6 linked regions of the Kluyveromyces lactis genome follow. The protein of the gene in region 6 purifies or fractionates together with the protein of the main gene of each other region. This does not show direct contact. Links are inferred from orthologs where the notes say so. Each region holds a gene or a part of one and is shown on either strand. Other genes may lie near its edges. The genes, in order: TFG2, SPT4, SET2, RTR1, IWR1 and RPB5.

Region 1 (5,453 bases), on a different chromosome or scaffold from region 6:
GGTAAAAAAAACCTACCACTGGACGCTTAATACAAGCTGTATTATCATCATTAGAGTAGTAATCTTATCGTCTCATCAATGAAAGAATGCAGATAAAAAGTATGCGTTTATTATAACTTATTTGACGAGTTTGTTCATTTCAATCTGGATGGTTCGTTCCTCAGGTAAAAATTGCCAGTACAAAGTGCTGGTAATTAAATCAATTCAAATTCAATTTAAATTCAATTCAATAAGAGTACTTACCCCACACCATGGGTTGAAACAGACGATTGGTGGAATTTCCAAAAAAAACAGTTGATATGGTATTAAAGAAAGTATTAGTGTCTCTCTAGACTACCCTTACAACTTGTTAACGTTGAAAGTTGGTGGCAAAGATTGCAACAATTTCTTGGCCTTACCAGCATCGTTAACAATCAAGGTGTACAAGTATCTGGAACCTCTTAGCTTGAACTTGGTTTGTCTGAAAGCCTTACCGTTCTTGTTCAACTTCTTGTTGATCTTGACGGTAGCAGAGTTGACATCTTGTCTTCTGATCAATTCCAAGAATTCCTTAATATCAGCGATTTCCTTAGCCATTTTTGTTAATGTACTTCCTAGTTGTTGATGCTTGGAGATTCACAGAAACTATTAAGACAAAAGAGTTAATAAACTGTAATTAAAAGTTATAAAGAATACTAAACAAGAACCGATAATACAATGTAAAAAACGCTAAACATCAAAAAAACACTAAATGGACATATACAAAACACCACTATTAACGACAAATGTTAAAATCTAAAACGTTAAAACTGTCGAAAGTTGTTCGAAACTAAACGTTTACTGGCTTGCCAATTGCACAATACTCAATGAGCACAGTCGATGAGATTGGTGAAAAGTTTAGTTGATGGTGTGTGGGTGTCAGGAGGTTGGCTTTTAGAGATTTTTTGGGTTTCTTTGAGTATTATACTACCCAATTGAGAATTTTCTCGTTTTGTATCCGGATGTGTGGGTTTTTATTTTTCAGTGTTTGGAGTGTATGGGTGTTATTTTAACAATGGACAGTCCTTTGTTAATCACGTGATTTGAATTCTTTAATCCTACTATTGGTTCAGGTCACAAGAATACATCACAGGACTAGACATGCCAGCATCATGAATAAGATATCCATTCATTTACTAGATAACCGGTGGGGCATGATTATGTGTATATATATATATATATATATATATATATACTATGTTTGAAGGGTTCTACAACACATCCTCCATTTCCACGTCTTCCAAGTCTTCCTCCTCTTGCTCGTTCTCCTGTTGTTGTTGTTGATCAAATTGGTCTTGAATCTGCTGCTGTTGTTCTGGATCAGCGTGTTGTGCCAATTCACCAAGCGTAGCAGCTCTTTCAGCTTCCTTCAACTTTTTATATTCCGATTTTAAAGTATATTTCAAGGCATACGGACCCTTTTTCACAAGCATAGCAACTTGATCTAGCGATTCCTTTAAATATGCTTCTGGTTGTCTTGTTCTCTCCTTCAAACCTTTCAAGGACCAATAATCGTATTCATCAAACAACTTGAACAATAGATCCAAAAGTTCCTTCTTTGGCAAACGGATAGCCCTTGCGTTGTTCTTCTTTTCCTTTCCAACTTTTAAGAACTTGGAAGTGTCGGATCTCATCGACATACCGGCGTTACTCATAGTGACACCAGGAGTTTGGTCAAGCACCGTAACCGTTGGTTTGTGGATGTTTCTAACGATTTGTCTTCTATGTTCCACAATTGTATGGTAATTTGGATCGTCTATCGAGGGCATCACTTGACATTCGTGGTACACTTTCCCCGTCACTGCAGTTTTCTTCGGAATAGTCTTCACGTACGGGATGTATCTATCTCTACCGTCCCTATCCGTCATGACACGGTGCTGAAACCTTCTCTTGTTGTACTTACGCTTCATCTGCTGCTGTTTTTTCTTCATCTCTTCCTCTCTTTCTTGTTTCCTTATGTATGCCTGTCTTTGCAACTCGGGGTTCGACTCCAATTCCTTGGCAAACTGCTGATATTTCTTCAAATTTTGTTCAGTGAATACGTACTCGTTCGTGACTTCTTTCTTGGTCAACTCTAAGTCATATTTGTGCGGTATGTCCTTGTTGTCCTCATCCTCATTCAACAACAACTGGATCGAATGGTCCGCATTATTAATCCTAACTTTACCCAATTCTTGTCCATGCAATGCAGTACGGTTTCTCCAATTTTCAGCTAAGAACTTAGGCAGACGTACAAGCCAAATCTTCTTCCTGGCGTTGGATAGATCCAAGTCTAACGATTCCTCATAAACCTTTTTCTCATTGTTCTCAATATCGTTACCATCGAACGCCTCTTCACCGACTTCTTCCACCAAATCTTTACCACTGGATTCAGACATGATTAGATTTTTAACTATTGGCTTGGATATATGAGACCTAACAGGTACCTCTATCCGGATTCTCTGCTTGCTTTTGTCTTCCTTCCGCCTTCCTGTTGTGGCTTTAAGTTGTTAAAGTTGTTTCAATTATCAATTCGATAAATCTTTAAAACTGACAAAAACAGCTAGCCATCAACGATAAAATAAACAGAAACTAACCAAGTGGATTGGCACCTCTGCCTACGGTGTATTTACGTTCATCAAAGCAGGCGTCATGAGTCATGCAGTCGAGGAAAGGTACAACAGTCAACAGAAACCGTTGAACGAGAGCTGCAATGAGTATATACACGAGATACTTAAAGAATGGGAAACCCAAGAATCTGAATATACTGTCGTGCCTTTGAAACGGGTTAAGGTGGCATTGTTCCCACTTCTAGTGGCATTAAGGAAACAGGAGCTCGGTCAATTGCAATTATCCCAACTGGCAAGAGTATTAGATGCCATTGTAGATGAAGATTACGTGCGAGCAAAGCAAGAATACCTTACTTTAAGTATAGGTAAAGGGAAGTTTCCGATCGGGTTAACCAACGTTGGTATACACGAGAGGAAACAGCAGTTGCAAGGCAGCAAGGCACAAACACAAGAGAACATGGTTCTTGATGACTGGTGCGTCAACATCAAACGGCTTGTCAATTTCAAGCAATGGACATCTTCACAGCGAAGAACCGCATGATTTTAAATATAGAATTAATTTCAAACCACTCTGATGGCTACATGTTACATAACCTCGGAACTGGAACAGAAACAAAAAAAGGAAGCGGTAAAGGGCAATCAAGCGACGAGAAGATGGGTGGTGTAGTCACTAGTATGGCTGAGTCTAGTGCTCAGGACTATGGTATGGAAAAGTATGATGATTTCATGGGATCAAAGTTTCAACCGGTGAAGGATCCATTCTATTCGGAACTAAGTAATGGGAAAAGGGTTCGAAGGAAGTTGCCTGCATATTGCACGAAACAGGAAACCAAGACATGGAAACGGTTACAGAACCGAGCATGGTACGACGACCGATGCTTCCTCGGGTGTGGATGTATCTGGATTGATTGGGGCATCGGTTGGGCCACGGTACTTTCGTTGCTTCCTGTGATCGGACCGATCTTAATGTACTGGGTACACAGCTCTACGGTGGAATACGCAAGGAAACGGTACAATTTGCCCAACGATCTGTTGGTGAAGATGCATGCAAACATAGTGTTTGATCTATTAATAACGTTACCCCCGATAATTGGCACGTTTTTGACCTGGATGAACGCATGTTCTACTAGAAATGTCGCAATGGTGTACAATTACGTATGTAAGGATTCGTGGCAGAGGTATCTACAGCAGAACCCAACACAAAGTGCACCGGTTGGGTTCCAACCGATGCCAATGGCTGCGAACCCACAAGTCCCAGCCCAAGCAGTCCACCATCAGGTATAAAAACCTTTGTGCTTGGGACAATCCGTTTAACAGTGTGTATTTCTATATAAAAGAAAATGATAACGCATATGAAATTGAAGACAACTACAGGCAAACCTCATATAAGGTAAAGAGTTAAAGCCATTGCTCCCCGCTAAACCTCAAGCCATGGTTGAATTGTATGAAAATAGGGTATGGATCGATGGGTGTTTTGATTTCACACACCACGGTCATTCTGGAGCCATTCTTCAGGCAAGAAGAACGATTCCAAAAGATCAACGTGATGGATCACTTCTCATCTGCGGAGTTCACAACGACGCAGATATCGAACATCACAAGGGTGGTAAGCCTGTCATTCACGAACAAGAACGGTATTACCATACAGAGAGCAACAAATGGTGCGACCAAGTGGTGAAAGACGCACCTTACGTGACAGAACCCGAGGTTCTTGATTCGTACGGTTGTAAATACGTTGTTCATGGGGACGATATAACCACGGATGCAAACGGTGAAGATTGTTACCAGCAGATGAAGGACAACGGCCGTTTCAAAGTGGTGAAACGTACCGAGGGTGTAAGTACCACCGAGATCATTGATAGAATACTGAGGAATGTCCCCCAGACAAACCAGCAAAAAGCAAGTGTCGATCGTGAGTTGCTGACCATGTACAGTACAGATAAGTCAGGATACGAGCCCTGGAGTTGGGTATTTGGCCAAAATTTCGAGGATGTGATAGTAGAAGGAACTGGCAGTGTCTCTGATCAGAATTGGGTTGTAGTAGAGGAACCAGATGGGTTTGATCTGTTCAATGTGGGACATATCCAAGAGTTACAGAAATGGAAAGAAGCAGGCAAAAGAGTGTGCTGCAGCATGTATACCGACAAAGACGTGTTCATGACATTGGAGGAGAGGACTTTAAGCGTGCTTAGCTGCAACGTGGTGGACGGTGTGCTTCTTTATCCTGTGTCACGTGACACAACGACTGCCAAAACTATCACCACATCTCTCAAAGACAACATCATACAAAGAATTAATCACGATAGGGATCATTATATTGAAAGAAATATAAAAAAGGGCATTACGTATGAGAACTAGCATATATAGGAAGAACGAATGAACAAAAGGCAGCAGCAGGCAACTTCCAGAGTCGCCTTGTCTCATCAGTCGTAACAACCCAAAACCAGCTTCTCAAATCATCTAAAAACATGAAAAAAGTCTATCAATTACACGGCACCACCGAGTAAATGGAGACGAGAGTGATCATAACATAACTCTCTACCGTTTCTGAGAGTTAGAACCTCTGCGTTGTTTGTTGAAAGCAGGTTTAATCTCACCCATATCGATCAAATCTTCTATCTCGTCCCCTGCTTTACCCCAATTACCTTTACCATAACCGTCTTTCTTCACAGAGTTTGGGGAAACACCGTAGTGCCCATTATGAGTGAAATAGTGGGATTCAGCCTTAGCTTCGCGAACGGTCCATTTGTTAGTTCTAGCCATTTTTAAATTGTGTGTGTGGGTGTGTTTTTGCGTAAGTTTGTGTCTTGTATCTGTTTTTGTACCTTAGTACTTGTTGATTGATGTGTATATAGATCACAATTGAAATATAATTTAATATACAGG
Region 2 (4,534 bases), on a different chromosome or scaffold from region 6:
CAGCTCATATTATTTTGCCTATTATGGACATGGGTTGGACTTGGTTCACATTTGCTTGCTTTAGAGCAAACAACTTGGCTTCATTGAGAGCTTACCGTTTCCTATTGAGTGCTTTTGGTGCTGCTTACTACCCTGTTTCTCAATACGTCTTAGGTTCCTGGTACGCCCCAGATGAAATCTCTTCTAGAGTGTGTCTTTTCTTCTTTGGTCAATTGTTAGGTGGTGTGACATCCGGTCTATTACAGGCCAGAATTTTCAAAAGTTTGAACGGTGTTTTGGGCCATGCAGGTTGGAGATGGATGTTCTTGATTGATTCTATGGCAATTTCATTGCCAACTGCTTTCATTGGATTCTTTGTTATTCCAGGCATCCCATCTAAATGTTACTCTTTGTTCTTGACCGATGAAGAAATCGTCATTGCTAGACGTAGGAATTTAAGAAACCAAATTAAAGATGGTGTTCAAAAGTCCCAATTGCCATCTTTGCTGTCCTTAAAGTTATGGAAAAAAGTGTTTTGCACTCCGACTTTTTGGGTTCTAGTTGTGTTCGATACTTGTTCTTGGAATAATATGACAGCCTTCAGTGGTTCTTACACATTGTGGTTAGATTCTATTCCATCTTACAGCACTGTACAAGTTAATAACCTTTCTGTCCTACCGGCATGTCTAGGTTTCGCTTTCGTCGCTATCTGTGCCTTTGGTGCTGATTTCTTCCGTTGTAAATGGTTCTTCATGGTCTTTGCAGCTATGATGAACTGCATCTCCTGTGCTATCCTAATTAAATGGGATGTGTCTTCTGGTGCCAAATGGTTTGCTTTCTTGATGACTTATTGGTCTGTGGCTCCATCCCCATGTCTATGGTCATTCATCAATGATTTCTTAAGATTCGATCCGCAAGTTAAAGCCATTACTTGGATTGCGATTTATTCCATCTCACAATCCACTTATGCATGGATTCCTTCTCTAGCCTGGAAAACTGAACAATCCCCAAGATTCAAAGTCGGTTATACAGTCTCACTTGTCTTCGGTGCTATTTATGGTCTATGGACATTCGTCGTGTTGTACTTCTACAAGAGACAAGAACGTAGACATGCATTGGACAACGGTATCATCTTGTACAACTCCAAGATGAGTGAACCAATACCTAGTTTCGTTGAATCTGAATTAGTTAAAGAGGGAGAGTACTATTATTTAAAGAGCGAAACTAATGAACCTGAACGTGTATATAACTAATCTAAACGGAAGAGCACTAGTAACCACATACTTCATTCCTCTCCCTCGTATATAATAATAGATATTATTCTCTTCTAATATTCTAATCTACCAGTCCGATCTTCTGTAACTCTTCTTTCAAAGTACCATTCCTTTCAAATCTCGCTAACTCTGATTCAGTACCCCAAACCTTACCATCAACGTACAAAGTTGGCAAGTTTCTTGAGCCAGTGGCCTTTTGAAATGCATCTCTGATTTCATTCCATTCGGATCTACTGTTAGTCACTTCAGCAATATCATAATTGAAGATCTTGTCCGTAACGCCGAATTTCTTCCATATGGAATTGGAATATACACAATCAGGACACCATCCCGCACTCAATTGAACAAACTTGTGAGAAGAAACTACTTCACGGGCGATAGCAATATACTTAGACATCCTCTGTAAATTGACTAGTTCTTTCCTGATGATATGAGAATTACTTTACCGAGAATAAGCTACATTCTGTTCACATTTGGGGGATGACCCTCATCTTATATAACAGAAAGGTTGAAATCTTCAAGTTTCTTTTGAAAATCTGACCTTTAAATATTCATTAAGACCATCCACAGTTTTTCCGTGCTGAAACTCCGCCATTCCCACAGAAAAGACACCGTTGATGCCACTAAGAATTGAAATACGGTAGTATGTCTCTAACGCGTGCGAACAGTTGCATCTAGTAAAGGGTATAACATGATGTAGTTTCGTTCCCTGTATGTGGCATTTTACTCTGTTTGGGGTATTATACAGATTTGTTGTTACCCTGATTATGATCTTTATCAACGAGCATCGATTCTCAGTTTTCCAATTTGAAAAAGCTGTAAGCATCAAGCTACATACTCACATTAGGTAAGTTAATGCGATCTTTTATGGGTAAGAACCAGTTCATACGTTGTGATTAGAGCTGGAATCAAAGCCTCAATATATATAAGAACATATCATCGAAAAGAGTGGGGAAATGTCAACGGACAGAGCTTGTATGTTATGTGGACTGGTGCAATCGACTGCTGAATTCAATAGGAATGGGTGCCCGAACTGTCAATCGATCTTTGAAGAGGCAGGTGTTTCGGCTGTTGAATGTACTTCCCCATCTTTTGAAGGTTTGGTTGGTATGTGTAAACCTAGCAGGTCGTGGGTAGCGAGATGGATGAGTATTGACAGTTATATTCCAGGAATGTACGCTGTCAAAATTGATGGTCGTTTACCAATAGAGGTAACGGAACTTTTGCCTCACTATAAACCGAGAGATGGAAGTCAAGTTGATTAATTTTAAGCACTTGTTAAGCACTTGTCTGTTTTAGTTTTTTTATGTTGAAATCGTCATGGGGCCGTTTTGGTGCCCCCATTTATTAATTTCCTCTTGCATCCTATAAGGTGGCTCCCTTATTACATGTATATTTATCCTTCGAAATATATCAAATGTTCTGTACTATATCTATTAAACCAAAAAAAAAGTTGAATTGAAAAGCGCAATCGCTGTATCAATCTATCTATATCTATGTTACCGAATATCTAAAGGATCTGGCGTAAAATTGGTGGTTGTACCCCATGTCCACTATGATTTTTGATCATTTCAACATTTTTTGTCATTTCAAAGATCATCCATTAAACTACAATTTTCTATCAAATGCAGTACATCTTTGCTCGCCTTGAAAGGTGAAGTAAAGAGTCCAGATTGAGATTGGATCGGTATCTTGGGGGTTTTACATCAACTATGTTACTTCGAAGATTACCTGCCGTACATTTTGCGAAGGGTTCGAGACAATTTGGATCATTGCAAGCTATTGCTGATAGTTTTGTACAGTTACACGATGCCTCTGGAGTACCATGGTTAGTACTCATACCAACTGCCACTTTTGCATTGAGAACGGTGTTCACTTTACCACTAAGTATATGGCAAAGGAAACGTATAGTGAAGCAGCAAGAGCTTCGGAAAGTTGTGCAAAGTGTTCCCCCTGTGGTGAAGCTAAGATTGGCTTCGATGACTGCGAAGGCTAATGACGAAGAATTGACAAGTTCTGGTAGTGCAATACAAACTAAAGAGGAAACGGTCGGAGCGCTTCAAAGAGGAAAAAGGCAGTTAACGCCAGATCAAATAACGATGTTATCGTTGAAAGAAATGCGTAAGAGACAAAAAGTTTTATTCAAAAAATACAACGTACAGATGTGGAAGAATAGTGTTCTACCGTTAGTTCAAGTCCCTCTATGGGTGACTATGTCAATGGGGCTTAGGAAGCTTACTGATAGTAGGTTAGTGGACACAAATATGCCTCACGCACATGTATTACAAGATCTTTCAGAGACAAGTTGGTTAACTCATATAGGTTCTTTAGACCTAAGTTTGCCCTTGGACGCAGCACCAATGCTAATACCCATCATTTTAGGAACCGTTTCGATGATCAATGTTGAGTATAACGGTAAGACGATGCAAGCAACTGCAGTAGGAACTTCTGGCATTACCACTGCTACTGACACACAATCGAGAACGTCACAGACGGTAAACAGTATCCTCACAGCGACTAGACTAAGCACAATTTTTCTAATTGGGGTCTCCACGCAGGCTTCGGTCTTACTTTCACTATATTGGATCACATCTCAGGTTTATTCGTTGATTCAGAACAGAATTCTCGATTTGCTATGGCCATATCAGAGATAATGGAGCTTCTATCTTTTAACACATATAAGTTAATTTAATCGTTTATAAAACTTTCACTGTACATAGTTAATATTTCTGTTTAGCAAACAGTGGTCTTTGTTCGAAGCTTCACAGCAAGATGGGTCCTTATTTCTTCTTGCCCTCTAGCTTCTTTTCTTGCTTTGCCAACTCCTTACGGGTACCCTTCAATAGCTCGAGATGACCAACACGACTTGATATTAGTCTTTCAGTGGATTCTGTAATAGAGTATGTCTTGTTCAATTTTTTCAAATGCTGAAGAGATTGTTTCTTTGATTTGATCTGTAGTGGAGCTGCTTTCTTTAAGTTCTTTTGTTTCTTAGTAACCCTGCGTGGGTCCTTAGCCTTCTTTGTCACTTTCAAAGCTTTTTGCGGCATATTCAAATACTCGACTGGTGTGGGATCAAATTACTGGTACTGATGTAGCCTCTAAATGCTGTCACCTTACAAACTTATGTCTGAGATGATGAGATGAGATGAGATGAGATGTTAGTTATAAGATGAATCTGATATTAGATTTCTTTTTCTAAATATTACGGAAGAATGAGAGAATAGAGTAAGACAGAAGAGAGGGGACGTTTTGCCGGTACAATCTCGCTATTACTTATC
Region 3 (6,394 bases), on a different chromosome or scaffold from region 6:
TTGTACCATTTGGCAGCAGCAATGTTACTGTTGGGGAAGAAGTGTTTCAAAATGAGCCGTTTTACATGACGGATGATTTGAAGACTTTGTTGTACGGAACAAGAGATAAAGCATTGTTTGAACGGATAGCGAACGATAGGTTACACAATGGTGGATTTCGGTTGATAATATCGCAGGAATTGGGACATGTAACTAGTCGTAACAATTATCAGGTTGTCTTGGACCATAGTTCAGTAAATTTCCATACAGGGGCGCATATCCCACTAAATGAGCTTAAGGATTATATATTTGGGTCATCGATAAGAACGATTGACTATTCTGCGTCGAGCGACAAGATCAAAGTCGTTAAGAGTGCAAACATTGTTCTATTCACGAGGATTTTCTATTTAAATGAGAAATCGACGTTGAGAATCGCTATAAGTTGTTGTGTCACCGACGACGTTCTGCCCGTGTTGACTGAATGTTGGCCTCATATATCGTCGTTCTTGGATCAATGTGAGAATACGTTGTTGAAATATCTAGCGAAGAATGACACACAATTCTTACCCCATGATTGGAAAGCCAGAAACTGTATCGAGGTTGCTGCCGTCTTACAAACTTTCCAACGTAAAATTATACCGTTATTATCCGGGTATTCTGATACCCCACGATTATTCCTTTACCCTATGGATTCAATACCTTACATCAAGACATGGGTGAAATATGTAACCAATTGGATTGAATTGAAGGATGGACCCAGAGTTCGTTTTTTACCTATTTTGCTGGCAAAACTACGGTATGATTTCGCTTCGCTTTTGAAGGAAAACTCGAATACAAGAATCGTTATACTTACCGGTAATATGAACGTTGCCAACAGGCTCATATTTATCCTTACTGCATTCCTTGGTCCACATTTCCGTGGGACTTTACATAAAAGCATCAATTCCCAAGGTTGTCCATCTCCGGCTGGGCGTAAAATGTCAAACATGAGTGGGGCTTCCGATTTCCCATTCGAATTGAAACCTTCAAACAGCAGCATAACAGAAACCAATAAAGGTTGGGAGATACCAAGAATCAAAAGAGACCCGACATTTAGCGTTACCAGCGTTTCTTCCGATGAAACAGGGGTACAAACTTTCATTCAACCTTCATCGCTGAAAAGTGGAGCCTCTTCGGTCCAATACCTATCATCATCGTTAAATAGTGCATACGGCAGTTATGGATCTTGGTTCAAGAAAGTCGCACAATCACCGTCATCCAGATCCAACGAATCCTCGCATGAAGTACCTCCAATTTTGCACCGCAACAGCAGTAGTACCTCCTTCCATCAACAAGCAGTGCTGGGCAACATCAACGGTTCACAACGTGTAACACCTCAGCCATCACCTACCATTGCAGAATATGAAGAATACCCATGGTTTTCCCCGTCACCAATTGCAAGGGATCAGCCAAGACCAGAGAAAAGAATACCCACACCAATATCTTCTTACACCACAGAAAAGGAAAGAAGAACGCATTTACAGTCTGAAATATACGACGTTGACATGAAACGAACCGTGAATCGACTCATCGACGAGGACTCTTTAAACGACGCATTCGCAGATCTAGTAATAGATCCACCAAGCTATGACACAACGGTCTCGAACGAAAAGCATGGCGAAATTGTAGAAGTTAATATGGCTTCTCCCAGAAAACAGCGCAATAATCAAAATCAAGAACTATTACGAAGGTTCACGTCCTACACTCCACACTACAACCAATGGTTCCAACTACAAGCGTGCCAGATCACCACAGAATCCGAAAACAAGGTGATCCATTCGATGAAGAGAGATTTAACGTACGCAGATCAAGATCCATGCAAAAAAGATAAATCCACATCAACGTTACTCATCTCGCTCAGATCAAGAGAGATCAAACAAGTCACTATCGTGAGAGACACAAATAACAGATTCATACAGAGAACAAAGAAGATATTGCAAAATGGGAAAGTGGGTCCCGTCTCGAGGGCAATGCTCTCAGGCATAGAAACGACAGACCAGCATTTAAAGAAACTCATGGAATGCAATAACGACAACGAGGCATTAGTTTCCCTCTTCAACGATATAGTAACGTGTGCCTCAACATAGGTTTAGAGAGTTTGGATCACGTGTCACGTCACTATATACGTTGTGATGAAAATCAAGCTTTCAAGGCTACCCAAAATTTTTGAGAAAGCTAATGGTTCGGGTCTCTGATGCCCTATAAAGCTTTATTCAGTTGGAAAATGTTGATTAATCACTAGGTTTATATGTATTAGATTGCTGTTTTTGGTTGTCAGATCTTTTGAGAATTGTTCAGTCGGGGGACTTAGGCTTTAGGCAGGGATAAAATCTACAGTGCTGTTTTGTTGTAGCATAGTATATAGAATTGGAAAAAAAAATTAAAGCATACTTGGGGAAGACAAGGAACGAAAGATAGAGAATAGAACATTGGTGTGATTATTTGATCTAATATAACATCTTCAGAAGGGCTATCACTCATATTAAGTTCTGTGTGATTATCAATTGTATTTTTTTGTTTGTTAATATTATGACGGAAAGCGGTAATGGAATTGTTAATACGAGGCAACCGAAGTTGTTTCTCGATGTTCCGGATATGACTTCTGAAGCAAAGAAAACGTACGCTGAGCTGGATGTATGTACGTATACGCCTAAAAACTTGGGTGATTCTAAGCATGAGTTTATGGAATGTGACTGTTTTGAGGAATTTCGGGACGGTTTAAACCATGCGTGCGGTGAGGATTCTGATTGTATAAATAGAGCCACTTTAATTGAGTGTGTGAACGGTCTTTGCAAACACTCGTGCGGTACTGACTGTCAGAACCAAAGATTCCAGAAGAAAGCGTATGCAGATATATCTGTTTTCAAGACGGAGCGGAAAGGTTTCGGCGTCCGTGCCAATTCTGATATTGAACCACACAACTTTATTTATGAATATATTGGAGAAGTAATACAGGAGGAAGAGTTTCGTAACCGGATGGTGAAATATGACCAAATGGGATTTAAGCACTTCTACTTTATGATGTTGCAGACCGGACAGTTCATTGATGCTACGCTAAAGGGGTGTATTGCCAGATTCTGCAACCATTCTTGTAATCCTAATGCATACGTTAATAAATGGGTAGTTAACGGGAAATTAAAGATGGGTATTTTTGCCAACAGACACATCAGCAAGGGAGAAGAAGTGACGTTTGATTACAACGTTGATAGGTACGGTGCCAATGCACAGCCATGTTACTGCGAGGAACCAAACTGTATTGGATTCCTTGGTGGTAAGACTCAAACTGACGCGGCATCGCTATTGCCTCAAAGTTTTGCAGATGCCTTAGGTATAAGGCCGTCCATGGAGAAAAAATGGATCAATATGATGAAGGCCAAGGGTGAGAAAATAGCTAAAAGTGACACCACAACGGTTAACGTCGACTTCGTTAATTCTTTATCACTAGAACCCTGTACGAAGACTGAAGATGTTAATCGTGTGATGAGTGTATTATTACAGATAGATGACGCCTTCATTGCAGAAAAGCTACTTGAAAGGATCACTTTGACTGAAGATGAAGCAATGCATTATCAGTTCATCAAATTGCATGGTTACTTGATCTTTAGTAGACTTATCACAATGTTTGAAGATAAGCCAGACATTATATGGAAGATTTTAAACTTCTTGTTAGTTTTACCCAAGACAACTAAAAATGGTATAATTCATTCTGGAATTGATAAGAAGGTCGAACAATTAAAGAATACTCCTAAATTTGAAGTGATATGTGAAGATCTATTAGAGAAATGGTCCAAATATGAAACTTACACCAGAATCTCCAAGAAAGATATTTCAGAAAATAGCAAAGTTATAGATTTACGGCGGATACGTTTACCTATCGGTTGGGAAATCATTCATGAGAATGGCAGACCAGTGTATTATAATGCTCAAAGGCAGATCAAACAAGCCAATCCTCCAACTGATTCTGCTTATAGATCGAACTCAAGCCATAACCTTTCTGGAGTTTCTGATCCTAAATCGAGATCAGCAACACCTTCTTCAAATACCAGTCGGTATAGTGGGTCTGTTAAGTACATACCCACGCCTACTTATGGCCAGATGCAGCAGAAAAGAACGCTATCTCCAGAAGAATACGAGAAAAGGAAAAAATCGAGAATCGAGTGGGAACAAAAGGAGTTAGAACTAAGGAAATTAATGGAGCAAGAGACTTTAAAAGCAAAATTGGATCAAGAAACCCAAAAGAAGAGCGAATTGGAGAGAATCATCGAGGAGGCCAATAAACAGAAAGAACTTGAAAGGCTTCAGAAATTGAAACAGCAACAAGAGGATGAAGAAAGGAAAAAAGTAAAGAAACAAGCTAGTCATGTCAATGCTATCGAAAATAAATGGGTCAAGTTCTTCGCTCAACATGTTCCAAACTTAATTAAAAATTACCAAAAGGACGTGGGCAAAGATGTTCTCAAGGAATCTGCTAGAAACATTGTCAAGTCTCTTGCCCAAAAGGAATTGAAGAAAGACAGTTCTAGATCACCACCTGAAGAACTCTCTAAAGAGAAAAGAGCTAAAGTTAAAACGTTTTCGATGCAGTATATGGATCGATTGGTTGCCAAGATGAAAGAAAAGAAAGAGAAGAAACGTTGATATCAAGTAACATTGCAAACACTTTTGTATCAATTCCATGTCATACGTTACATGATAGAAACTTTCAAAGGCCAAGAAGTCAGAAGAAAGGGGGGCAGTCCTCTCATAGCACAGGCTACCGTACCCCTTATGCGCATGTATATAGTTTGATTCGTCCCTGAAAGCGCCGTATGTTATCGAGTTTCTTGTCTTTGTAATTTCCATAATAGGAAGATTCTTTGACAATTATCAACTTGACACATGAAGGTTTAAAGAAAAAACATGGACGTCGAAAGAGAGTTATTTTACAACGCGCTGGAAACCCAAGTATATAAGCTGCCGGTAAGCCAATGTAATCTTGAGATGATTTCGTTAAGATATCACTATTTAAATGCATATCTAAACGTCTCTCTGCCGTGTTAAATTTAAATTTAGGCAGTAATAAAATTCATACTATTCGGACAATATGAGTACTTTTGGTTCGACTTTTTATGATTCTGTAGCAAAGAACTACATATGTGAATGTGGAAGTTGCAAGATAGGAAAAAATGTAGAATTTTACATGGTTCGTTTCTTCATCATGGGTTTTGTTTTACCCGTGCTATGGATCCTTAACTTAATGTTGTACCTTTATGCCAACTGGATAATCGACCACAATGTTAGGGTCCCGGAACTTGACTCTGAAACCTTATATACCGAATATGAATGCCAACAATGGAAACAGCGCAGTGTCACATCACTAAACAAAAGTATTACCAAGGACTTCTACGCTATTAACAACCCATTGACATTTTCCATGCTTACTTTAAAACTACCAGATCCCGTACCATTGACTACGTATCAACATCTCTCTTTGCCTGATCCAACGAAGGGCAGTGATGAAAAAAACCAGTTTTCGGAAAGCGCTACTACCCTGGACGAGGGTGCAACAGACTCCTCATCATTTGAGACGGAAGACGGTGGTACCAAATCCATAGTGACAGCTCAGTGTCTAAAAGAAATCGCTTCTGAACTAATGAAAAATCATGACGTTAATGCAAGAACTATCAGGAACTGGTTTCTGCGTAGCTTATGTGCAATGACAGGGTACACAATATCCATTATAATGATAGTAGTTATCGTTAAGACTAACAGCCAACCGGCATCGTACCGAGAATGAACATATGCATTACTCGTCCGCATTATACAAAAGAAAAAAGAAACTTACAGCATATCAAACGCTTATGAGGGCAAGCTAACGACCGCTGCACGCGCATAGCCCTGATGGAAGGTTGCTAGTTCTGCTTCTCTTTTTTACTCCTATAATTCTTCGTACTAAAAGAAACACATTTTTTCGCTCTCGAGAGAAAAGGGCTTTGCATGAAAAAAAAGGCTGCCGTTGAGAATTGCCGGCATCTATTAATAAACTCCAGACCTGTATCCTGACCACTTAAGGGCCGTCCGACATAATAAATTTACTTGCCGTCATTTAATTAATATTGGTATATAACCGGAGATATCCTGTACGCATCAGTATTCTTTGATAGAGTAACATTTCTCACGTTTGACGCTATTATTGTACAGATCTACGTTGTGCCGGAACAAGTCAAGATAGGATTAGCTTAGAACAGATTAGAACCGATCTATCAGCTTCTTAAATACAAAATGGTACAGGCACTGGATATATTAGCTTCATTATTTGCAGTGGCAACTGTAGCTGCTCAAAGTTCAAATCAGGTACAATCGTATAACCTTATCGAATTCGGTAACGTAGGGTTCA
Region 4 (4,697 bases), about 800 kb from region 6:
ATGCGATGACATGAATAGATGAGTAGTTGAAAACAGGAAGAATTCAAGGTACATCCTACTCAATCTTATCAAATTGATGAAGCTCTACAAAGCAGAATTATATCAATGGTACGACCATTTGGAGAGATAGGAAGTCATAGGAAACACGTATTGGAATGGTACAGATATTCATTACGAAACATTAGGGCCAACGTACCCACTGATAATCTCCAGATTGAGCTTTGGAACACATTGAGACAAGCAGTACGACGTAACAGAAATCATAAAGCTGGCTGGTACGTACGTGGATTATTGGAGGATCTCTCTCATCTGAATAAGTATATTGTCGGCGATGATATAATCAAGCTAGTTGCTCTAAAGAACAAATACACAGAGCAGATCGAGCCTGCTCCAGAACCGTTGCAGCAAGCGAACAAACCAATTTCTGGTGTGGTGGTAACTGAAAATATGGGGGATGAGAGTCGAAGGGAAAAAAAGAAGCGATTAGCACCTATTCCTGGTGATGGTGATTTATACCGCTACCTTCTTAGATATTATAAAATATATGGTCCGACTAAAACGATACCTCGTAAACATATCGACGAGCTACTCAGACCTCTTGCAATCCACGAGAGATACTGTAAAATTTTGTACAGGATTGAGTACCGCATTGCCAAGGGCCCCCCTAAAGTTTCTATTAACTACACCAACGCTGGCCAATCCCGAATTTGGTTCATACGATCTCCATTCAATAGGAAGGCACGCCAGTCTAAGAAATTGACAGGAATCATAATTAAGGCACGGCTTAGAGCTCAAGATAATCTCGATAGATTTAGGGAGTGTGAATCCAAACTTTTCTATGCATTTCAAGAAGCACAATGGGAATATACATTGATTCACAAACAACCATGTTCACGAAAATTCAATGACGTCGTGACACAGATAAAGAGTGGTAAGTCCAATGACATCCCTGCAGTGTTCATCGACTGGATAAAACCAATCCTCGAAGATATGGACATTCTCAACCGGATAAATGCTAATACACAGCGTAAATTCACCGAAAGTAGAGATCACTTAATTGACGGAAAACAATATGAATATTATAAACAACTGAACCAAAGACTTTATAAAAAAAGGCTTGAACGATTCTTGGGCTTGAAAGCAGAGTTACCAACGACAAACCCATTTACCGAAGAGAAAAATTTAGGTGCTTTGCTTGTTAAATGGAGGTTCCTTAGACCAGATCAATTAGTGAAAGTTAAATCGTAAATAAAACTATTTTATGTATGACTATATAATGCAGGATTGTCCATATATTTTGAGTTATAGAGTCAAAATGCTCTACCTCAAATATGTTTGTACTTGTCATCATTCTGTCATTTCATCTATCTCGTCCTAAATCTCCAATGATATTTGGCTCGTTGATCTCTACGATCTTAATATCAGCTAACATGTCACTGATATCCCTTTCCATTTCCTCTCTACTATCATCGTCCGCGAGTTTCAAATCAGTCATACCACGAATCATCTGCTTAACATCAGACTCTCTAGCTAGTACTTCTTCGAGCAATTGTATCTCACTAGGTGGCTCATAATCGTCAAGATGTACACCGACCCTAGCAAACAAAGCCTCGTCTGAGAGCTGAAACTGGTAAAACTGTGAACATCTAAAATGAGCCTTAGTACAGTATTCTGTAAGGTATGCATATGGGTTATTTTGTCTTAAGAAATTGGTCATCTGTACATCTGCGAAGGGATCACGTACTCTCGCCTGGCTTTTGCTACAGAGTGGATATCCACAACGCTTCACCAAGTTCCTTTCTTGGACTAGATCCGCATAATCCTGTTTGGTAAGGAACCTTGAAATGTATTTCATCGTCCTTGCATCTTTCACGTCTTTTGTAATCAATAAGTCTATTAAATTGATACTTATAGTTTCCACTTCCCTTATGGTCAATTGTCGATGGTTTGTATAGGGTTTTAATACAACCTCTTTGATTTCTTCAATGGTAGCCATTGCTATAGTCTAATTATTTTGGTAAATTATTTCACGGTCGTAGTTGGTCAAGCAGCTGTATGAGGTCCCTTATTCATGTGCTTTTCTTAAGTTTACCTTCTTTACTTTGGCACTATCAACCCTTCGATGTGATTTAAGCAAGGACTTTATTTTAATTCAATGTAGATCGAATTCGAGCAGACAACAACAACAGAAGAAAGAAATATCCATGACGAAGTAAGGTCCTTAGCACTAACCGGTCAGTTGTGCCTCAACAAATGAGTTCACAGGATTCTGAAGCCCACCTCAAAAGGCGAAAGGCGAGGTCTAAGGAAAGCAGTTCTGGTGCTGGGAGAAGGGTATCGGTTGAACAAGACGTGAATACGGTGTCATCATCGATAAAGAACTTTATATACCAGGAGATTCTTCCCCAAACAGCCAAGGTATTCGAAGAGGAACCATGTGATCAGAGTGAGAAGTCTGTTGAATATGATCTGGAGCAGATTGCGAACATACTGAGGGTACCATTCCAAGTCGAGCAATTCTTTGTCTTTGCGATATTGACTTGTTTGAACTGCTTCTTGTATTACTTTACCATTATACCACTTAGGGTATTCCATGTATTAGTGGTGAAACGAGATGGTCCTAAAAGAATACGACAAGAGCTTCTTACTACTGCGATGATTCTTGGACCCTGTTCGATATTGAATGTCCTTGACACCTCAAGAATATATCATAAAATTAAGGGCCAAAATGCTATTAAACTATACATGATATTTCAGGTTCTTGAGATGACAGAAAAGCTCTTATCAAGTGTTGGCCTTGATCTATATTCAATTATCATGCTCAAGAAGAGTGCCAAACATAAGACAGAGATGGTAATGCTATATATTGCATGTTGTTTATGTTTAAGTTTCCACGCGTTGATATACATCTACCAGATTCTTGCCATGAACGTTGCGGTAAACTCGTATTCTAACTCCTTATGGACGCTACTGTTGTCAATGCAGTTTTCAGAGTTAAAATCTGCAGTTTTCAAGAGAATTGATAAAGAAGGATTGTTCCAATTGACTATGGCTGACGTCGTGGAAAGATTCCAGTTGATCGTATTTCTAACGGTCATTGCAGTGAGAAACTTTATCGTAGCAAGAAAGAGCTTGCGCGATGTTTTACCACACTCATGGAATGTTCATTCTACACAGTCCTTGATAGTTGGTATATTTATAGGGCCGATTGTCACAGTAATTGGAAGTGAATTGATAGTGGATTGGATCAAGCACGCATATATTATCAAATTCAACAGAATCAGAGCGCATATCTATGAAAGGTATTTGCAAATTCTTTCCAAGGACAACCTATCCAACAGTATCCAATTCCAAAAGAGGTTAGGTTTGCCGTTCCCGCCACTAATAGTAGCCTTCCTAGTACTGGTATGGCCTGCCATCAGGCAAACGATCAAGAATAATATCATCTGGTCCACTGTTCTGATAATATTTGGATTCCTATGGGCTCTACTCACAAAGCTAACACTTCAAGCAATACTGTTGAGATGGACGTTACATATCCAAAACAAACAAGCCAGCTTGCACCCAGATCCTTTGTATATCAATGGCCATCTCTCTGCTGGAAGAGGAATGATGGATGAGGATGCCCGCAAAATGACACACTCTAGCCAGACAAGAACTTATTCACCAACAATTACACCACCAGGATCGCCAAAACTCGCTGCTTTTGAAAAGAAGGCAAGCATCCCACCTAGCCTCAACGAGCAAAGAACCAAGAGAGATCTGAAGCATCCTAAATCGCTAGAGTCCGTTGAAAGATACAAGATGGTATCAAAGAGGATTTGGTAATATTTAGGTGCCTTAAGCAAAGGGCATAGCAAAATGTAGTGATTATACAGCAATATATAGACCGAGCATAGCAAGATTAAATAAGAATTATCAGAATTTGATGCATGCTGATGTTAACTTCGGCTCCGTCTCCTCTTTCCAACCTTAAATAGTGTATCATCTCTACACTACATAATGGATATTATATAACATTTAATATGACGCACTTTTTGCTATTAAGAGCAAGCATGAAGCAATAAGAGCAGAACTTTGTATATAAACGGCGATCCTAATGGCTAACAAATTGTCAAGTCGCTGAGTGTGTTATTTCCAAGAGTTAAGATGTTCCGCAACTCGAATACCCTAAGAACGCTAAACCTATTAAGAAAGATGTCTTCTAAAATTGAGAACGATTATTTGATACAAACCAAGGCCTTTATCAACGGTAAATGGACAGAAACTGACGACAAGTTTGCTGTAACCAATCCCTCCACCGGTGATACGATCCGTGAGGTTACGAACTGCGGTGTTTCAGATTTTAACAAGGCTATCGAAATTGCCCATGATGCATTCGGGACGTTCAGACAGACCAACGTCAGAGAGCGCGCGCAGATCTTGGACAATATATACAACTTGATGCTAGAGAACAAGCAGGATCTAGCCAAAATCTTAACTTTGGAGAACGGTAAACCGTACAAGGACTCACTAGGTGAGATTGTGTACTCTGCAATGTTCTTCAAATGGTTTGCTGAAGAGGCTCCAAGAATTTATGGAGATATTATTCCAAGTGCTGTATCCAGTGACCAAAAGATCTTTACAATAAGACAACCATTGGGTGTTATTGGTATTCTAACTCCGTGGAATTTCCCTAGCGCAATGATTGCTAGAAA
Region 5 (5,417 bases), on a different chromosome or scaffold from region 6:
GTAAGGAACGGCGTAGGAGCTCAGTAGCTACGAGTAAGGATAGTTCGCCAGATGTGCCATATAATACCTTAAACCATAACGCGAGCGGGATGACAAAAGAAGGTAAGAAAAGGGCCCAAATACTCGAGGCAAGTAAAGTATCCGAAGGACAGGGAAGAACATATATCGCTTACGCTATCAAATATGGTGATTCAATTGTGAAGCGGCGTTACAGCGATTTTGAGAGTTTGCGGAAAGTGTTAGTTAAGTTATTTCCAATAAGTTTGATCCCGCCAATTCCTGAAAAGCAATCACTCAAGAGTTACGGAAAAGCAATGACATATTCTAAATCAAGTTACCTATTACCAACGGAAAGCGGAGACTCAGTAGATCTTTCGCTATCAGTAATTAACGGACCGGTTACCACGAATGATGAGAAGCTCATACGGCACAGAATCAGGATGCTTACAAGTTTCTTGAACAGACTCTTGAAAAACCAGGAAATAACAAAGACTTCTATCGTGTACGACTTTTTGGATCCGAACAATAAAAATTGGAACGATCTAATCACAAGCTCTCTTACTATCTCATCATTACCGAAAAGTGTTCTTCAGTGCAATCCAATAGACCCTACAAACACTACAAAAGCACATTCATATTTGCCAGTACCGTCATCATCAACACAACTGCTGGCATCAAAGGACAATCATTCAGCTTCGGACGCTGATGAGTTCACTAAAATTGAAGCGGAATTCAAAAATTACGAACAATTGATACATTCTGGTTTGTATAAATACTCAAGAGCTACTACCAAGGAGGTGAACTATTTACGGGAAGATTTGAAAGGAATCAGCTCTGAGTTTGCACAATTGTCAACTGACGAAACAAAGAACGAGAGTGGACTAGCAGAATTACTTTCACACTCCAGTGATGCATATGGGACTCTGCAAGAAATTCTGGAAACTCTTGTCGGAAATTTGCATTACAACATTAATGAGCCTCTTAGTGAATGTGCCCACATGGCCACTGCTGTGCGGGATTTAATTCATTATAGAAGGTTAAAGTTGATCCAAAAAGATATCTTAGAAAGGACAATACTTTACAAGCGAGGTCAACTCATCAAGTTCCAACAGCAAGAAAACGACCACAAGCAAATAGACAATATGGTAAAGGAAGAGCTTGGTACAAATGGAGCAGTGAATCTAGAAAACCCTGCAGGACCACAAAGCTACTCTGGAAAATTCATAAATAAGTTTACCCAACTTGCAATCATAATTAAGGACTCTGTCAGTTATCAGGAACAAGATCCTGCAGCAGCTGCAAGATCCTTAGAGAAAGAGTTGATACAACTAGATGAAACATTGAAAGTTGCTACTAGTGATCTCGTCGTTATTTCTGAAACTCTAAAGAATACTGAATTACCAAACTTCATTAAAGAACGTGACGAAGAATTGACTCAAATCTTTAAGAATTATGCGAAATATATGAAGGAGAATGCCACTAGAAATCTTGAAATATGGAAAGAGCTACATAATCGCATTCAGGAAGCATAATCAGCTTTTGAATTAACAGATTTTTTTGAATATATACATTTTACATATATGAATTCCACCCTCCCGCGTTTAGATTCTCAACAAGAGCGGCATTAAGGAACGGATATTCATAAACGGCAAAAGTTTTATAGGAAGGGGGATAAATATTTGAACATCTGATACCATTGCCAATCCAATTCTCTTAGAGCTAATTTGAAATTCGTCCTCATCGAGTATCCCTGAACACCTTGTCTATTATGAAAGATAGCACTGAAAACAGTTTTAGCCGTCGTCATATCCTGGTGCGGTTTAGAATTAAGAGCTTTACCAAAAATCAAAAGTAAGCAGCGAACTCGGCCGTTGCTGATCAAAAAATTCTTCTTATATTGCTCTTTCAACGTCTGTTCAATCAGTTGGAGTAATTGAAACTTCGTTGCTTGTATGGCACCATAAGAAGACTTATTTTCCGTAGTGTATAAGCCTTCCGTTGAAGCAATGTCAATTATATAACCGCGATCGTACGCTATCATTTTAGGTAAAATATGCTGAATAATATGCATGCTGCCCGCATACACTGTTCTCATTAACTTTCTCAAACTCACACCTTTCCCCACTTCGGCGTCAGTAAAACTTTTCAAGGAAACCGCATTGATAAATACAGTGATTTGACCAAATCTTACTGAGATATCATCCAAGATTAATCTTGTATATTCAAAGTCAGAAATATCGCACTTGTAAAATGACACTCGATGAGGTTCAATAAGATTTAATGGGTATCTTTTATCAATGAGAATAGTCTTATAGCCCAAGGAATCAAACATTGTAACGAGATGTGACCCAATACCTCTCGAGCCCCCAGCAACTACAACAATGTCCTTTTGTGGACACAATGGTATACCCACAAAAGAGGTAACTAAATCTTCAAGAACTCTAACATATTGAGTACCTTTTTGATCCAACGCAAAATAGTTTAAGCTATTCCAAAACATAGCTACAATCAGAGACCCTTTCTCTGATAAAAACTATTCTATACTATGACCAATGAAAGTTATACCAACTCTAATTGCCATCGTTTTCTTTACTGTCACTAATTGACGTTCTTAGCGTCAATTTTCCAACTTTCTTCATGTTTTGCTCAGAATCATTTTGTCTAGGAAAACCAAATTTACCTTTTCAACTTAGAATAAGAATCATTTGATCCAAGACCAATGGATTAATGAGGGAATCACATAGCAGAAACGACTCTGTTCTACCTACAGAAGCAAATATATCTGACATGAGTAAAAGCATATCTGGCGTGGAGTACATCAGAGTGAAAAGACGTCGGGATGAGGATTCCGTACAGGCTTTGCTCTTAGAAGAGGAGAGAAACGCAAAAAAAGGGAAGTTCGTGTTCAAGCTATCTAAGACTGTAGAGCTTGAGACTCCCGATGTTAACAGTCCACTATTGAAATTGAGTAATGAGAACAATGATAAAAAAATGGTTTACGTTCTTGAAAGGGAACGGGAGCGCCAGGCAGCGTCAGAATTGCAAGAAGAGCTACCGGATAGCATTGCGGAAATGCTAAATGACTATCTTAAGATAAAGGAGAAGGACTCACCAGAGCACAAGAAACGCAAGGCAAGTCGAAAACATTCAAAATCATATACAGCTCCGATCTTGCCTCCTACAGATTACGTTTACGATGTGTATGTGAAACAAACCATACCAGAAGATGAGGAGGAGTTCGTTTTCGATAAGAGTACTATCGGATACATCAGAATCGTTGAGCATAATGGGGACATGATCCCAGAAGAAGAAGTAGATCCAGAGAAAACAATGTTGACTGACGATGAGGATTCAAATGAGGAAGATTATTATCAGAACGATTATCCGGAAGATGAAGACGATGACAGATCAATTTTTATTGGAAGTGACGAAGATAGGACGGATTCAGAAGATATAGTATACCTTGACGAATTAAATGATGAACTGGATCAAAATTATAATGTGGACGGTGAGCAGGCTAACGAAACCACCAATGATAATGGTGATGAGTTTGATGCATTATTTCAAAATTACGGAGAATCTTCCAATCTTTTGAGCTCGTTGAATGCCAATAATTACGTCGACTTTGACTACGACGACGATGACCATGCCGATAGTGATAATGACAACGGTAAATACGACGGTGACTTTGTCAATTTGAAGCCAGAGGCTGATGACGATCACGATACTGGAATGGACGTAGATGATCAGACATTCAAGAGAAATTACTTCTTCCCAACTGACAAAGACGATGAAGATGCTATACACAGAGATCGTATATTCGGCAAGCTGCAAAAGATGATAGATAAAGTGTGATTAATTTGGTCGTTTTGGATGTCTGACACAATTCCCTTGTTGTGAGTCAGATATTCTTTGGGATGGGGAATGGATCATTGAAAAACTGCGGGACTGTTATTCTATTATGTACAGGTGTTCCAAAGAGGAATTTTTGCGGTTTTTTTTTTTTTGAGATGAGAACTACAACCGCTAGGTTCCACAGAAAAAGTCGTTGATACTGTGAAATGTCTGGGTGTTTGGTGAAAAATTTCTGAAGTCTCATTTCCTGCGTCTGCAAGATTGACCAACTTTCACCAATTGCAAAGCTCTAGGTTAACAAAGATGATGTGCAAGCATTCCCAGTTATACTTGGCTCCTGCATTGTTTGTTGAAACAGGCGTTAATTACAGTATTACAGTATTACAGTTGAGTGCATTTGCTTTGTTTTGGTTTTGGTTTTCAGATAGGCTGTGAGCGAATACAACAAGACAAGATGAAGTACATTCAAACTGACCAAGTCCTAGATGTCCCAGAAGGTGTTACCGTCCAAATCAGATCCAGAAACATCAAGGTTACTGGTCCAAGAGGTGTTTTGACTAAGAACTTGAAGCACATCGATGTTACCTTCACCAAGGTCTCTAACAGACAAATCAAGATCACCGTTCACAACGGTGACAGAAAGCACGTTGCTGCTTTGAGAACTGTCAAGTCTTTGATTTCCAACTTGATCACTGGTGTTACCAAGGGTTACAAGTACAAGTTGAGATACGTTTACGCGCATTTCCCAATCAACGTTAACGTCATTGAAAAGGACGGTGCTAAGTTCATCGAAATCAGAAACTTCTTGGGTGACAAGAAGGTCAGAGAAGTTCCAGTCAGAGATGGTGTTTCTGTTGACTTCTCCACCAACCAAAAGGACGAAATTGTCTTGTCTGGTAACTCCGTCGAAAACGTTTCCCAAAACGCTGCTGACATCCAACAAATCTGTCGTGTCAGAAACAAGGATATCCGTAAGTTCTTGGATGGTATCTACGTTTCCGAAAAGGGTCTAATCGAGGAAGAAGAATAAACTAATCTCAATTACAATTAATTAATGTCGTTGCTATTATTTTTTTTCGATTGGTTTCGCTTACATATATGTTTATATATACATAATTAATATTATATGTACTGCTTAAAAACTCCAACTTCTGTTTCTAAGTTACCTTCCAAATAATGCGGATGCCTTTGCAACCATCTGTAGATATGTAGTAAGTTTGCCGTTACTTTGGAATAACAGATATATCTTATCAGTTTCGTTGGCAACCAAAATGGAGAGGTCAATGGCTTCTTGAACGAATGTAGATACCTTCAAGTTCTCCGATGCGGAAATCAAATTGTTGTGCAACTCCATAATCAAAAATGGAGTGTATAAGGCCCGTATTTCATACAGAACGTCTGAATCATTCACTTCTTCATTGTCTATCAGGTCTACCAAAAATGTCGTTACTAACTTTATGATTGTGTTCGAGAAACCTTTGAATTGCTTAATTAGGGATCGCAAGTTCGACTCGGTATTGAAAAGTTGCGATGATTTTACCCACTCTTCTTGCTTTTTGAAG
Region 6 (4,836 bases):
TTTAGATGATGAAACAACCGTTCTTAGTACAAGCGCAGATGGAGAGATCAAACTTTGGAATGTTGAAAGTGGCAAATGCCTTTGGACCAAACAGTTGTCGCACGCAATATGGTCGGTAGAAGGAACGCTTTCTAAAGATTTATTTCTTGGCGACTGCATGGGTAATATAACGCAACTTCAAGGTAATCAGATATCTGTTATCTACAAGCCAAGCGATTGCGACACAAAAACAGGTGGCATTCTGGCAATGGCCATTATAGAAGATGTGTTGTGGTTCTCCAGATCAGGAAATTCGGATCTAAACAAGTTGAACTTGTTGAGTAAGAAGCTCACGGTTATAGAAGGTGGCCATGCACTAGTGCGGTGTTCTTTGTTGACAAACCGCAGACATGTCATCACGGAAAATACATCCGGTGAGTTGGAGAAGTGGGATATTGTTTCTTGTGAGCTGGTTGAAAAAATCAGCCGAGACGAAGGTAATTTCGATGAGGTGGTCAGAAAACTGAATCCCAAAGAAGTCTTACAGCACTGGTGCTCCGTTTCGATAAAACGAGGCATTCTTTTTGTAAAGATCAATGAACGTTTCCTGAATACCGAAGTATACGGAAGTGCCCTCACCGATTATGTAATAGTCAACGAGGATAAAGTTGACGAAATTAATTTGGACGAAAGATACAATTTGGGTCGTATAGCTGTCAATTCATTATTACATGGTTTTATTGATTATGAATTGGCGAAGGATAAGAAATTCAGAGAAGATATTTCTTCCACAAAGAAGCAAACTCCTCCATCTACTCCAAATCTATTAAGAAGACACAACTCAATGGCCTCTGACCATACGAACCCTGATCAACATAAAGACAACAAAAGTATCAAGGAGAAAAGACGATTATCTATATTTACCAAGTTCACTCAATCAAATAACACTACCCCGCAAAGTTCGGCCCCCAACACCCCCAATGGTATACCTGACGTCCCACATACATATCACGGCATAATCGAAGAAAGCGAAGATGAGATGGGAATGATGTTACCTGGCCCAGCAACTGCTCTACCTACTTCATCGAAACCGGCGAACCTCACTTTGACAAGGTCTGTTACTGAACAAAGTATCGAGAGATCTGCTACACCTTCAAGCACATTTGGTTTCCATAACAGATCATCGAGGGTAAAACTAGAAACTAACAGCATCGATGACCTTCATAGTATCTCTTCTACTGGGAATGGTGAAGTGAACTTCAAATTCAATTCAAAGAGTTTTTCCAAAGATCTGTCTGAACGAAAGCCAGGACTTTTCTTGAACGAATATATCGAAGAAGTTTATCACGCTTATTTGAAACAGGCTCCAAACTCCTCATCAACGTTCATGAAGTTTGGGAGGCGGATCCCCGAGACTTTGTTCATCAGAGACTCAACTAGACCCGTGATACAAATCAAGAGTGGATGCATTCTCACGGTCAACCATTGGAAAGAGGGGTCCACAGGGGAAACTATTGCATTTTCCACATATCTCCCACCCCCTACATATACGGCAAACGACTTGATCGATAACTACCATACTTATGAATCATTAGAAAGACATCTCCCGATATGGCTTGGAAAGATTCTTTTCAAAGAGGATAAAGTCATTAAGACGTACCCAAAAATCACATTCATCATCCAGCCTTGGAAGGACGAGGCTCATTTATCGGAGGAAACGCAACAATCGCCAGAGGCTGAAAGACTAGTAGTAGAACATAAAAGATCAGGGTTCCACAAAAAATCTAAACCACCTGAATCACCCTTAATGCTACCGAAGATTAACGATAGCAATGTTAGATTAACAGCTGCAAATATGATAAAGGCAAAAAAGATCAAGACTTACATAGTGGATAGATTCGAATCAAAGACACCTGAGATGAAAAACAAAGAAGATCCAAGCGAATGGTTAGAAATCTTGTGCAAAGGAACAGTACTAGAAAACGATATCACCCTGAGTGCTATACGCACTTTATACTGGAAATCAAACACAGACATTGTTCTTGAATATAGACGTAAACCGACTTAAAATTAAGAGAGACTGTGAGACTAAGTTCTCACCCAGGCTTATCAATATATATATATATAACTAAATATAGACATATATACAAACATAGAACTACACCTGCCGCCCTTGACTCAGAGCATTCCATACCAACACAAGACAGGCACGTGACTGAAATCATGAAGGACGAGTTTGATGGTTTGGCTCTGTTTCCTTCTTTCATCGCATTGAAATTTCGAAGGTTTGTTGAAGTTTTTCTTTTTCTTTTCAGCCAAAATTTTCCAAAATTTAGAAAGCGATGAGAAACAAATCCATTAATTTGTTGATTGAAATTTAAGAAAAGATTGAAGTTAGGTAGCCGAATAGTCCTTGTACCGGTTGAAATTAAGGGGTAAGATTAGTTTGCATATCGATAATTGAGTTCTTAGTACTTGTTTGTGCATATCGATAATTGAGTTCTTAGTACTTGTTTGTGCATTTTAGAATTTAATACGAACTAATCTTCAAGCGGAAAAAGTTAGTTTCATAAGATATCAAAGGCAAGTGACGCACAATTTTTGTAACAATGGATCAAGAGCAGGAGAGAAACATTTCCAGGCTATGGAGAGCTTTTAAAACGGTGAAGGAAATGGTTAGGGACCGTGGATATTTCATTACCCAGGAGGAAATAGATTTGAGTTTAGAAGATTTTAAGGCTAAATACTGTGATTCTATGGGCAAGCCACAACGTAAGATGATGTCTTTCCAGTCCAATCCAACCGAAGAATCAATAGAAAAATTTCCTGAGATGGGTTCATTATGGGTGGAATTCTGTGATGAAGCATCTGTTGGTGTGAAGACGATGAAGAATTTTGTGGTTCATATTACGGAAAAGAACTTCCAAACTGGTATATTCATCTATCAAAGTGGTATTACTCCAAGTGCAAACAAGATTTTACCAACTGCAGCACCAGCAGTCATCGAGACTTTCCCAGAAGCATCTTTGGTTGTCAATATTACACATCACGAACTAGTCCCAAAGCATATCAGGTTAAGTGAGGCTGAAAAGAAGGAATTATTAAAAAGATATAGATTAAAGGAATCTCAATTGCCTAGAATCCAAAGAATGGACCCAGTAGCATTATACCTTGGTTTGAAAAGAGGCGAGGTTATAAAAATTATTAGAAAGTCTGAAACTTCTGGACGTTACGCAAGTTACAGAATCTGTTTATAAGAGCAATTAAAAAGAGCCATTCCCCAACCCTAAGTAAAGTAAATGCGTGTGTATAATAATAGACCAAATTAGAGCAAGAGAAACTAATAGGGCCTTAAACACACTCTTCGTATGAGAACCCATCAGGGGATATCATAATCTAATTACGATTCTTTTTTCAATTATTTAAGGAAATGATTAATCACGTTTTGAACATAGCATGTCTGAATTAAGAGAGTTCATTGATATAAGAATTCGAATTTTTAGGAAAACAGGTAAAGATCAGGAATGGCTCACAAGACGTGAACATAACACGCTATCCCTTGTTCCCTTCCACCAGGAGATATCTTTCAAATTAATTTCAATAAGAGGAGACACTTCAACACCCTCACTACCCAAGAAGGTGGCACCAACGGTGATGACCAGGGCATCGATAAGGTGTGGTCTCTGTAGCAAATCATTGATAACAATCCCACCACCTTCAACCATGATGGATTTTAATCCGAATTGAGATTTCAATTGGATGAACAAATCGTGCCAGTCCACTTTACCTGTAAAATTAGTTTGCATCACTAAATAGTCAACGTTCTCTTCTACAACTTCTGGAAGCTTTTTCACGACTACAATTGGTGCTTTACCATCACCAGAATCAAACAAAGTTTTCATCTTGGAACCCTCAAACTTCCATTTCCCGTTTGGATCTAAAATTATGGGCCTTGGAGAATGTTCAGCAAAATGTTCTGGTTTTGGCTCATCATCTGGCCACCATTTACAGTTCAAACCGGGATCATCAACCAAGACAGTACCACAACCCAACATGATACCGTCAAACTTGTAACGGAGGTAATGGGTCATTGTATTAGTTTCTTGATGAGAGATAATAGTTCTAGTCCCTTTGATCTTCGCAATACGAGCATCCAACGATTGCGCATAAGTTAAAATAACGTACGGCTTTTCCTGTTCGCCCAAAACGCCAGCATTTTCCGGCATGTATGGTTCTAAGAAGGAAACCAACTCCTTTTTCAATGGTTGTATAGGCATGGCTTTTGTCGATGTATATAGCTGACGCGTTCAGTTGTGATTGGGCAGTGATGTTCCCAGTTCTTAAGCAGAAAATAAAAGAATGAAGTTTTTATCTTCTAAAACTTGAAGCCAATTTCGGGTTGTTTTAATACTCTTACACTGAAATATATCTATGAATTATGAAACTCTGTGTTGAGATAACACTTTTCCGGATAATTCAAAGTGATCTCAGTCCGATAAATTAAAACGAACTCTCAAAAGCTCTGAGTCAATATTATTTCAACAGCACAAATACTAGCACTCAGCCAACGTTGCCTTGCCAAAATAGATCACAGGTACTCGAAAACAACACGTTCCCGCTGAAGGGATCTTTCCGCAACTAAAAAAAAGAAACAACATTGTGGAAGTCACCTGTGTTAAACATACCAAACTAAAATCTTTTGAGGTACAGTCAGTTGCATGATTGTTCCTGTTCTGTTGTGGAATTCCTTCCATTGGTTATGTTCGATGATAATAAAAGAAAAAAAACATGACGCATCACGTGAGATACTTTTACAGCTATGTAGGAACGAAGGTTGGTATGTGAGTCAGTAGTAGC

Evidence for each region.
Region 1: the proteins of RPB5 (region 6) and TFG2 purify together in Saccharomyces cerevisiae (affinity purification with mass spectrometry; 5 studies listed by BioGRID, with this or other methods). This does not show direct contact. The link is inferred for Kluyveromyces lactis from reciprocal best matches to the Saccharomyces cerevisiae genes RPB5 and TFG2.
Region 2: the proteins of RPB5 (region 6) and SPT4 purify together in Saccharomyces cerevisiae (affinity purification with mass spectrometry; 3 studies listed by BioGRID). This does not show direct contact. The link is inferred for Kluyveromyces lactis from reciprocal best matches to the Saccharomyces cerevisiae genes RPB5 and SPT4.
Region 3: the proteins of RPB5 (region 6) and SET2 purify together in Saccharomyces cerevisiae (affinity purification with mass spectrometry; 3 studies listed by BioGRID). This does not show direct contact. The link is inferred for Kluyveromyces lactis from reciprocal best matches to the Saccharomyces cerevisiae genes RPB5 and SET2.
Region 4: the proteins of RPB5 (region 6) and RTR1 purify together in Saccharomyces cerevisiae (affinity purification with mass spectrometry; 3 studies listed by BioGRID). This does not show direct contact. The link is inferred for Kluyveromyces lactis from reciprocal best matches to the Saccharomyces cerevisiae genes RPB5 and RTR1.
Region 5: the proteins of RPB5 (region 6) and IWR1 purify together in Saccharomyces cerevisiae (affinity purification with mass spectrometry; 4 studies listed by BioGRID). This does not show direct contact. The link is inferred for Kluyveromyces lactis from reciprocal best matches to the Saccharomyces cerevisiae genes RPB5 and IWR1.

Annotation. Positions count from the first base shown.
Region 1 is NC_006039.1:1,605,665-1,611,117, reverse strand, and holds TFG2 (transcription factor IIF subunit TFG2), read right to left. Parts: upstream 2,397-5,453; coding exon 1,230-2,396; downstream 1-1,229. Other genes in the region: RPL38 (60S ribosomal protein eL38), read right to left, coding at 340-576; mRNA splicing protein PRP18, read left to right, coding at 2,650-3,108; KLLA0_C18161g (uncharacterized protein), read left to right, coding at 3,150-3,851; ECT1 (ethanolamine-phosphate cytidylyltransferase), read left to right, coding at 3,999-4,925; KLLA0_C18117g (uncharacterized protein), read right to left, coding at 5,106-5,330. UniProt on the Saccharomyces cerevisiae protein: TFIIF is a general transcription initiation factor that binds to RNA polymerase II.
Region 2 is NC_006038.1:704,347-708,880, forward strand, and holds SPT4 (transcription elongation factor SPT4), read left to right. Parts: upstream 1-2,209; coding exon 2,210-2,518; downstream 2,519-4,534. Other genes in the region: VHT1 (Vht1p), read left to right, coding at 1-1,232; glutathione-disulfide reductase GRX8, read right to left, coding at 1,315-1,650; membrane insertase COX18, read left to right, coding at 2,966-3,907; KLLA0_B08041g (uncharacterized protein), read right to left, coding at 4,034-4,303.
Region 3 is NC_006037.1:594,272-600,665, reverse strand, and holds SET2 (histone methyltransferase SET2), read left to right. Parts: upstream 1-2,547; coding exon 2,548-4,656; downstream 4,657-6,394. Other genes in the region: LST4 (Lst4p), read left to right, coding at 1-2,105; ASG7 (Asg7p), read left to right, coding at 5,102-5,794; TOH1 (Toh1p), read left to right, coding at 6,280-6,394. UniProt on the Saccharomyces cerevisiae protein: Histone methyltransferase that trimethylates histone H3 'Lys-36' forming H3K36me3. Involved in transcription elongation as well as in transcription repression.
Region 4 is NC_006042.1:1,171,363-1,176,059, reverse strand, and holds RTR1 (RNA polymerase II subunit B1 CTD phosphatase RTR1), read right to left. Parts: upstream 1,997-4,697; coding exon 1,361-1,996; downstream 1-1,360. Other genes in the region: RRG1 (Rrg1p), read left to right, coding at 106-1,248; EMP65 (Emp65p), read left to right, coding at 2,254-3,828; KLLA0_F12628g (NAD-dependent succinate-semialdehyde dehydrogenase), read left to right, coding at 4,150-4,697. UniProt on the Saccharomyces cerevisiae protein: RNA polymerase II subunit B1 C-terminal domain (CTD) phosphatase that dephosphorylates 'Ser-5' of the CTD and regulates RNA polymerase II during the transition from 'Ser-5' to 'Ser-2' phosphorylation.
Region 5 is NC_006041.1:813,944-819,360, reverse strand, and holds IWR1 (Iwr1p), read left to right. Parts: upstream 1-2,727; coding exon 2,728-3,855; downstream 3,856-5,417. Other genes in the region: ATG20 (Atg20p), read left to right, coding at 1-1,532; KLLA0_E09153g (short-chain dehydrogenase/reductase), read right to left, coding at 1,658-2,500; RPL9A (60S ribosomal protein uL6), read left to right, coding at 4,310-4,885; NUP84 (Nup84p), read right to left, coding at 5,018-5,417. UniProt on the Saccharomyces cerevisiae protein: Directs RNA polymerase II nuclear import. Binds RNA polymerase II in the active center cleft between the two largest subunits in the cytoplasm.
Region 6 is NC_006042.1:1,966,990-1,971,825, forward strand, and holds RPB5 (DNA-directed RNA polymerase core subunit RPB5), read left to right. Parts: upstream 1-2,588; coding exon 2,589-3,236; downstream 3,237-4,836. Other genes in the region: DUF1 (Duf1p), read left to right, coding at 1-2,047; RIB7 (2,5-diamino-6-(ribosylamino)-4(3H)-pyrimidinone 5'-phosphate reductase), read right to left, coding at 3,498-4,256. UniProt on the Saccharomyces cerevisiae protein: DNA-dependent RNA polymerases catalyze the transcription of DNA into RNA using the four ribonucleoside triphosphates as substrates.